2 linked regions of the Caenorhabditis elegans genome follow. The protein of the gene in region 2 binds, or shares a complex with, the protein of the main gene of each other region. Each region holds a gene or a part of one and is shown on either strand. Other genes may lie near its edges.

What was found.
Region 1: lit-1 (region 2) and wrm-1 share a complex: the UniProt entries of both Caenorhabditis elegans proteins name them as parts of the beta-catenin-lit-1 complex.

What each region holds. Positions count from the first base shown.
Region 1 is NC_003281.10:5,721,025-5,724,948, reverse strand, and holds the start of wrm-1 (Armadillo repeat-containing protein wrm-1), read right to left. Parts: upstream 2,100-3,924; 5' UTR 2,067-2,099; coding exon 2,042-2,066; intron 1,991-2,041; coding exon 1,883-1,990; intron 1,340-1,882; coding exon 1,167-1,339; intron 1,110-1,166; coding exon 726-1,109; intron 537-725; coding exon 1-536. UniProt on the Caenorhabditis elegans protein: Antagonistic role in the Wnt signaling pathway that operates in embryogenesis. When located at the cortex it has been shown to inhibit Wnt signaling during asymmetric cell division but when relocated to the nucleus it shows positive regulation.
Region 2 is NC_003281.10:13,711,988-13,715,911, reverse strand, and holds the start of lit-1 (Serine/threonine kinase NLK), read right to left. Parts: upstream 1,868-3,924; coding exon 1,728-1,867; intron 1,355-1,727; coding exon 1,236-1,354; intron 415-1,235; coding exon 241-414; intron 163-240; coding exon 61-162; intron 1-60. UniProt on the Caenorhabditis elegans protein: Has a role in the Wnt signaling pathway controlling the asymmetry of cell divisions during embryogenesis. Operates in the AB and EMS cell lineages influencing cell specification.

The sequences.
Region 1 (3,924 bases), 8.0 Mb from region 2:
CAGAATACGGTAAGAGCCTGCATCGTTGACCACAACAAATCCTCGTGGATCACTTCGTTCTGCATAATTTGATGAAAGAGGCTCACAACACCAAGACGTTCTGACATATCTTTGATAGTTGCATTTTTATTCGACAAATTCTTAATAATCGATACACAAAGTCCCTTATTCTTTGACTTCGTTTCCGGTCTTCTCAGGTTTCCAATTGCAAATTCAATTACTATTTTGTGAAGACGTCGATGTGCTGGTGACTGTTGAGTCTCATCTTCTCCAAAGAAAATCTTCATGAAATGAGGTTTACAACAAAGATGTACGAGCAGAACCATAGCACTGGACTCGAATTTCGTGTCAAGTTGAATGGCACGTGTCATCACGATCTCATAGATACTGTATGGCTTTGGTACATTGAACACAGGCGGCCCATTGGGATCCATTAATGCCGCATTCAGTCGGAAGAACATCCTGTCGATACGTCGGATTTCCTTGTTGGAGAGAAGAATTGAGTGGTGGAGAATTTCAAACGCTTTCCGGATTACCTACAAAAAATATGGAGTTGTCAAACGATATTTTAATACATCTATATATATTTTTTTTTTTTTTTGAAAGATTTTTTTAGATTTAGATTTTAGATTTTTAAACAATATTAGGCTGTAGGCATCCACTTAGGGATGACGATGTTCCTACCTACCATGAAAACCTTCAACGAACATTTATGCAAAACTTACATTCTCATTCTCAACTGGCCGAGGAATAAGAACTTGAAACAGAGCTCGAATAATCGGTTCGGCTCCTTTAGGTCCCCAGGTTTGCAACATTCCACCAGCTTTCACAATTGGCTCCAAAGCTCGAATCGCTGCTGCTTGATTGATTAGTTCCGTTGATTCCAGATTCTCAATAATCTCGGGAGCTGTCATCGGATACTGTCGATTCGTCGGATCCTGATTCTCGGAAACCTGCGATACACGTGTCAGTGCTCGCTGATATGGTGCCTGATTGACAAAATTGTTGAATTCACCCATTTCAGTGTTGACTGAGAGCATTGACAATCCACCGTACGAGTAGGCGGTCATTTCTGACATATTCGTCATGTGAGACATTGTGGAGCCGATCTGAAATTTGATTTTATTATCTGTTCAAGCCGCGGAATTCTTATAAAAATCTCTTACCACACTCGGAGGCCTCGAAAACCTTTGTTGTTGTCCTGCCATCTGCGGCGGTGCATAGGTACCCTGCATCCAAGCATTTGTGTATGATCGCTTTCCCACAGCAGCTTCCCGGAGTTCTTGCACCCGAGAATTGGACGGTTCCATGTTCTGAGGTTGAGCCTTGAACGGCGAACCTGAAAAATGAAATATGAATATGTGAAAAGAGGTATGTAATTTGAGGGAAGTTTCCAATGGGGAACACATAGACACACGAGACATACGAAAATGGAATGGGGGAAGTGATAAGGTGATGTGATTGGAGAGGGTCGAGAGAGAAAAGGGCGCGAAATGGCCTTTTGGAATATGTTATCGACCAGGAAATTCTTGGATTAATTGTTATGCAAACGAGTTTTTATTCAATCATTCTAGATCAGGGGTACGCGGTAATTGAGCCAGTGTGGCATGTTTTCAGTAGAAAATAATATTTGCTTTATCTGAAGATAACTTTTGTTTCAGTTTGAGAAATTGAAAAAAATTTTCGATGATTTGTCGAAAATTTTGTCGGGCAATTCTCAACTTTCAGACAATTTTCGGAGCACTTTTCAATTATTCCAGCTTAAATGAAAGTAATTCTCAGATTACAATAATTCTTTTCCGAATATTAAAAATCTTAAGCATAAATTGGCCGCTTTTAATCTTTTTTTCGAAGTAAAGCCAAAATTTCATATCTTTCTCACCTGAATATTGTCTGGCAGACATTGTAGAAGACGGCCGAACTGGTGTTGAAACTCTCGATGTTGACGGAGTCATCGGATTGAAATTCAGCGGAGTGCATGGTTGCGAGACTGAAATTTTATTGATTTTTTTAATAATTATTATTTCAAGGGGGAACCTACATGTTTCTGCGCAATCCACATCCATTTCAGATGGGTGGTTGCAGGTCCGTTGAGGAACCTGAAACTAAGCTAAAATGAGAAATTTCGATGTGAGAACCTGAGAAAACGCCATTGATGAGGGGAATAAAGGAAAGTAATCGGATGTGTGTGGAGATTTCACAAAAAAATGAAGAAGTTTCAAGAGAAGTTAAAAGAATTACGAACTTTTGGATTTGTGAGAATTGTATCTAATTCTTGCAGCAACTAGAAAATATTTTAAAAATTGTTTAATTTATGAGTTTTTTGAATCAAAGCAATAGTTTTTTTCTCAATTTTAATATAATTTACAGAAAAGTTTAAAAAATAATTTTTTTCATTTTAGAAAATAACTCAGAATGCTGTGCAAAAGTACAAAACCCCTTTCCTATTGTCTTTCGAGCAACTGCTATTCACACCTTCCAAGTCAAACATACTCAAGTGGACACTGAGCTTTTTTCAATATTGACAGACTTTTTGACACCTTATTCTATTTTTTTTTTTCGAATAGTCAGCCACTTGTAGAAAATTTTGAATTTCTGAAACATTGGTGAATGGATAATAAATGCAAAACGATCGGGGGTAACCAATAAATCAGTTCATATGGGTATATACTCTGTGGGGGGTCAACACTTGAATGCTGTTCAAACAGCAGGACGAACGGCCAGTTGCAAAATGTTTCGGGGAAATTTAATCCGAAAATAGCGGAGAGAAAATTATTCCTATTAAATACGTAACTCACAAAGTTTATCAGTAAGTTTTGCGATGAAAAAAAGATTTAAACTGATAAGAAGAATGGCATCGCCCGTCCGAGAGGAGTACACAGCCGGTGGCCTAGAAACCTCCGCGCCGCGAATCAATACATTTTGAATTCGATTGAAGCTTTCAATACTGAAAGTTAATCTAGTGAATAAATCAAAGAAAATGTGATGCCGTTGAGCAGGAAGTTTACTTCGAAAGGCCACACAAATGTTTTATGTGAAAATTTCTGGATTTGGGATTAAAGTTTTTTATTTAAATTTTAATCAAAACCTTGCGAGTTAGCTCGAAAAAAAGGAGAAGCATTGGCGAATGGATAATATGCACCTGCTCAGGCTGAAGGGAATCAGTGTGTACACGACTCGTAGAGAAAGAGACAACAACCAACTAGTAATCAATCAATTTGACCACATTATTAAATCATCAGGCGTGTCATCGGAGACAAAAATGTGACGAAGAAACATTTGAATCTATGACTTTGAGGATATCAAGTGAGGCGTGAGGATGAGAAGAAGGAAAAGAAAAAATGAAAGCCGGATTTAGGGGAATTGAAAATGAACCGGAAATTGGAAGAATCAAGAGCAGCGGCGAGGAAAAATCAATTTTAGAGAATTTAACATTTTTTTGTGAAATGCAAAACCTGTTTTTTTTTTCTTTTTGAAATTCTGCTAAATTTCAGTTTTAACAAAAAAAACTGATATTTCACTATTTCTGGCCGAAAATCTGCAAAATTCCTCAATTTTCACCTCTAAAAGTAGGGTTCAAGTCAAAAATTGCATTTTTCACATGATTTATGTTGATAAATCGGAAATTTTCAGCTTATTCGTGTTGTTGAAAATCAACTAACTTTGAGTTTTTTGTTTCAATATCGACAAATCGTGTTCTAAATGATTCCTGTGAATTCGGGTACAAATTTGAGAAATTTAAAACATAATTTGGCAAAAAATTTACGAAAAATACAGGAATTTTCAATGGAAATTAAAGGCAGAGAAATAGTCGAAAATTTTGCAGAAAAACCAAAAAAAAATTGGCAAATAAAAGCAACTGTTGCACCTGTTTCCCACGTTTTTCTCCCTATCGCTTCAGAAAACATCTGTCTCCATATGTTT
Region 2 (3,924 bases):
GGATTTTCGGTAATTATTTTTTAATTTTTTGTTTTCGTGAAAAAAAATCGGTCGACTCACCAACTAATTGCTGATGATGATGGTGAGCCTGCTGTTGCTGCTGCTGTTGAACCAAATTCTGAAGATGGTGGTGCAGAGCAAAGTGTGGTGGTTGTTGTATTACTGAAAAATTAAAAAAAACATTACTTTTTTATTGAAAAAAAAAACAATTTTCAACGTTTAAAACATTATTTAACAAACCGTCAGATCGTGGCACAACTGCTGAATAGTGTGGTTGTGCCGCTTGCGGCTGATGATGATTGTGATGGGTGGCGGCAGCGACGAGCTGGTACTGTACCGATGGGTGAAGCTGCTGGTGATGTTGATGGTGAGCGGCGACGGCGGCCAGCTGGTGTTCCGGTATTATTGGGATTGCTGAAACAATTCTTGATTAATTATTGAGTTTTTCGGAAAATCCTCTGAAATTGGCTAAAAATTAGACAATTTCATGTGAATTATATGAAGAGGTACTGAAAATTGTTGAAACTTTGTTTTTTTTAATGATAAATTTTACACATTTTTTAGCTAACAAAGCGAAGAAATTGAGCAGAAAAACAAAAATTCGAAACGAAAAAACAAAAACTTTTTTAGAATTTCTCCGATCGTGACGAGACCTACTGCAAGAGACAGTTTGGGCGCCTTTAAATCTTACAGTACTGAACTATTTGAAAATTCGTGTTTCGGGAGCAAACAATGGGGTTTGGAAATTTCGGTTAGAATGAACATTTTAAAATAAAAAATTTGTTTCAATTAAATATTAAAAAAAGATATCTTAGGCACGAAAATCGAGAAAATATTATAAAATGTATGATTTCTCGAATCGTGGTGGAACCCAGTACGAAACTAAAGGTATGCTCCTTTAAAGTTTACAGTACTTTTAATTAATTTTCATTTTTCGATCAATAATTCAACGGTTAGGTTTAAAAATTAATTATCCATTTTCCAAACTAGTTTAATTGTTTAAAAAGAAAATTTGTAGACAAATTGAACTGGATTATAAAAGCAAATCAACTCTAATTCTAATACAAAGATTAGCGAGCGTTATTTTTTTCACATGAATGAGCGAAAATCTCAATTTCTTAGCTTATTAAAAAAAACAATAGGGTCTCCCAACGAATTCCACAAAGTTCGTGGCGAGACACACATTTCCGGACATGTAAAACTCAATTTGTTTTAATTTTTCCACAAAAACACACCCTGACTGAGAATCTGTTGCTGTCGGGATATAAGTGCGGCGTGTGCAGCTGCAAGATCGTAGAGCTCTGTAGATGACGAACTACAGCCGGATGAACTGCTTGATCCTGGAATTTCTGGACTTGAAAAAAAGAAAGAAAAAAGAAAGAAGAAAAAAGAACATGAAAAAGTGAGGCGGAACTAGTGTTATTCATTCATGACGAGAGAGGACGCCTTCTTTTTTTTTTGTTTTTTTTCTAGAGAATTCTGAAAAAAAGGAGGAAATAGATGAAGAAGGAAATAAAAGTTGTTCTCCTCTCGGAAAACGAAATTGTGCCAAATTTATCAAGCCAACAAAAAAATTTCCAACAAAAAAACCAAAAATGGTTTAATAACGAAATTTTTCAATGTATTATTTTCAGGAGAACTGCCTATTTAAAATATTTTATGATTGACAAATTTAAGCAATACAGAGGCTCATAATGAACATTTTTTGTAAACATGTGAAAATTTACTCGGGGAAAAGGCACCCGCAGAATTCGTCCTCCGTGTCTTTCTGAGACGAGTAGAAGGAAAGTGAATCGTCATCATCTTCTTCTTGTTCTCGAGAAATATAGAGATAGTACGCATCCTTCCCCCTTCCCCACGACACCATCACCACCCAACACCGTCTTCCTCAATACGCGTCTACGATTCATCTCGGATCTGTAGGCGAGTGAGCGAGCGCGCACGCACCCCTCCACTGTGTGTGTGCTAACAGGACTGAGAAGAGAGACCTCACTACCTGTCGCCACCAGGCCCCCGGTACCATGTACGTTGAGGGTGATGACCCCGACCTCCCCAAGGACCGTCCCTCGGGATTTCGAAATTTTTTATTACTCTGTTACTTTTGGGGAACGGGAAAATAACAAGAACTTCTGATATGTTCTGATATGAGGATATGTGTGCGCCATGTGAAAAATTAGTTATATAAATTGCTAGCATATATCATTATGAAGACTAACTTCAGAATATCACATTAGAATTAGTAGTGGTTCAGACTTTTTCTGAATTCCCGGAAAAAGTGTCCGGGAATTGAGCAGAAAAGTACACATTTTCTAAAACGAGGCTCCTCGAAAGATAAGGACAACTAATTTGGAAACACCTTATTCTGGTACTTTTGGGGGCGGGGAGAGGACAAGGGAGTAAAGTAAAGCTGGAAAACAAGTGCTAGCATACAGAATAATGCGAAAAATTTACAATTTCATTGGCAAAAAATGAGGAAATGCAAATATCGAGGAAAATTATAAAAGTTCGTGGTGATTTGAAATAAAAAACCACTAAAGTACCAAAAAATTTGCCGTGGCAATATGGCAAAACTTTCAACAAAAAGCATACTGTATATATGAGAACGTTGACTACAGCTGATCGCGAGTAGCAAACTATGAGATGCACAAAGAGCAAGAGAGACGAGAGAGTGTGTGGCAAGGAAAACGGCCACCCAGCAGCAGCAGCAGTAGACAGACCCCCCCCCCCCCGCGAATTCGAATATTATGTAGCAGTGGTCACTTTCTATTCGAGATAGTCGGGCGAGACACAGAGAGCACGACGGCGTAGAGAGTGGTCAAGGGTGTGGAGACGCAGAGAGATACGGAACGCACTCTCATACATCTGACTGACCACTCAAACGGACGCAGAAGACCGAAAAGCTGCGAAGAAGAAGAAGCAGAGATGTGCTCCCCTAAGAACCAACTACTACTATTACTACGATGTACCCCATCCCCGTTTCATTTGGAATTTAAAATTTTCAACAGGGGTGTCTGTTGTTTGGCATGCTGACAGTTGGAGCAAGGATGTCGTTTTTGGCAACAAAAAATCGAAACTCTGATTCTCCAGAATGTTTGTTTTCTCAATTTGTGGTGCCCCTAATCGGAACTTTCTCTAAAAGCCGGGAATCTGATTCTCCAAGTTTTATGTTCGAAATTTCTGAGCCAAAACTCAAACAAAAAACTTGGGAAGTCTGAAATTTTGTAAAACTCGAAGAAAAAATCTAACAGATCCGGTTCTACAGATGTTGTAGTTCCTTTACATTGTGGGCTCTATCTACAAAATCTGATTTTTTGTTTTTTATGAAATATTTCATATGAAATGAAAATTTGATCCGAAAATAAGAAGGAAAATTAGCAAATTTGATTCTTAAAAATTTGCAACTCACTAGACTTCGTAAAGTTTCTAATTCCCAAATTTTTCTGACAAATTATCGAAAAATAACACTGGTGAATCTGACCCTTCGATTTTTTTATTTCTCTATTTTTGTAGGGCTACGATATAAAAACCAGTTTTTTTCCGAATTTTGATGAAAATTTGCTGTGAACTCTAACTTCATACTTACTAGTTCGAACGAATAAAATTCCTGGAATCCTAAAAAGCATCAGAAAAGACAAATCTTGAAAGTTTCCGAGTGAAATAAAAAGTTCGAAGAAAAGCCATAACACACACACACCCACATACATATATATCCAGAAGACGGCTATATATGTGGTTGTTGTTGTTATTGGGCACACACGAGACATAGCAAAAGCAAGCAAGCAAAAAAAAAATAGAACGCCGCCGACTGCTTTGACGACTACTATACAAGGACGCGGAAAAGCAACTGCGAAGAAGAAAGTGAAAAAAAACAAATAAAAATTACGAAAAAGTTAAAGGAAAGTGATAAAAAATTGAACATTTTCT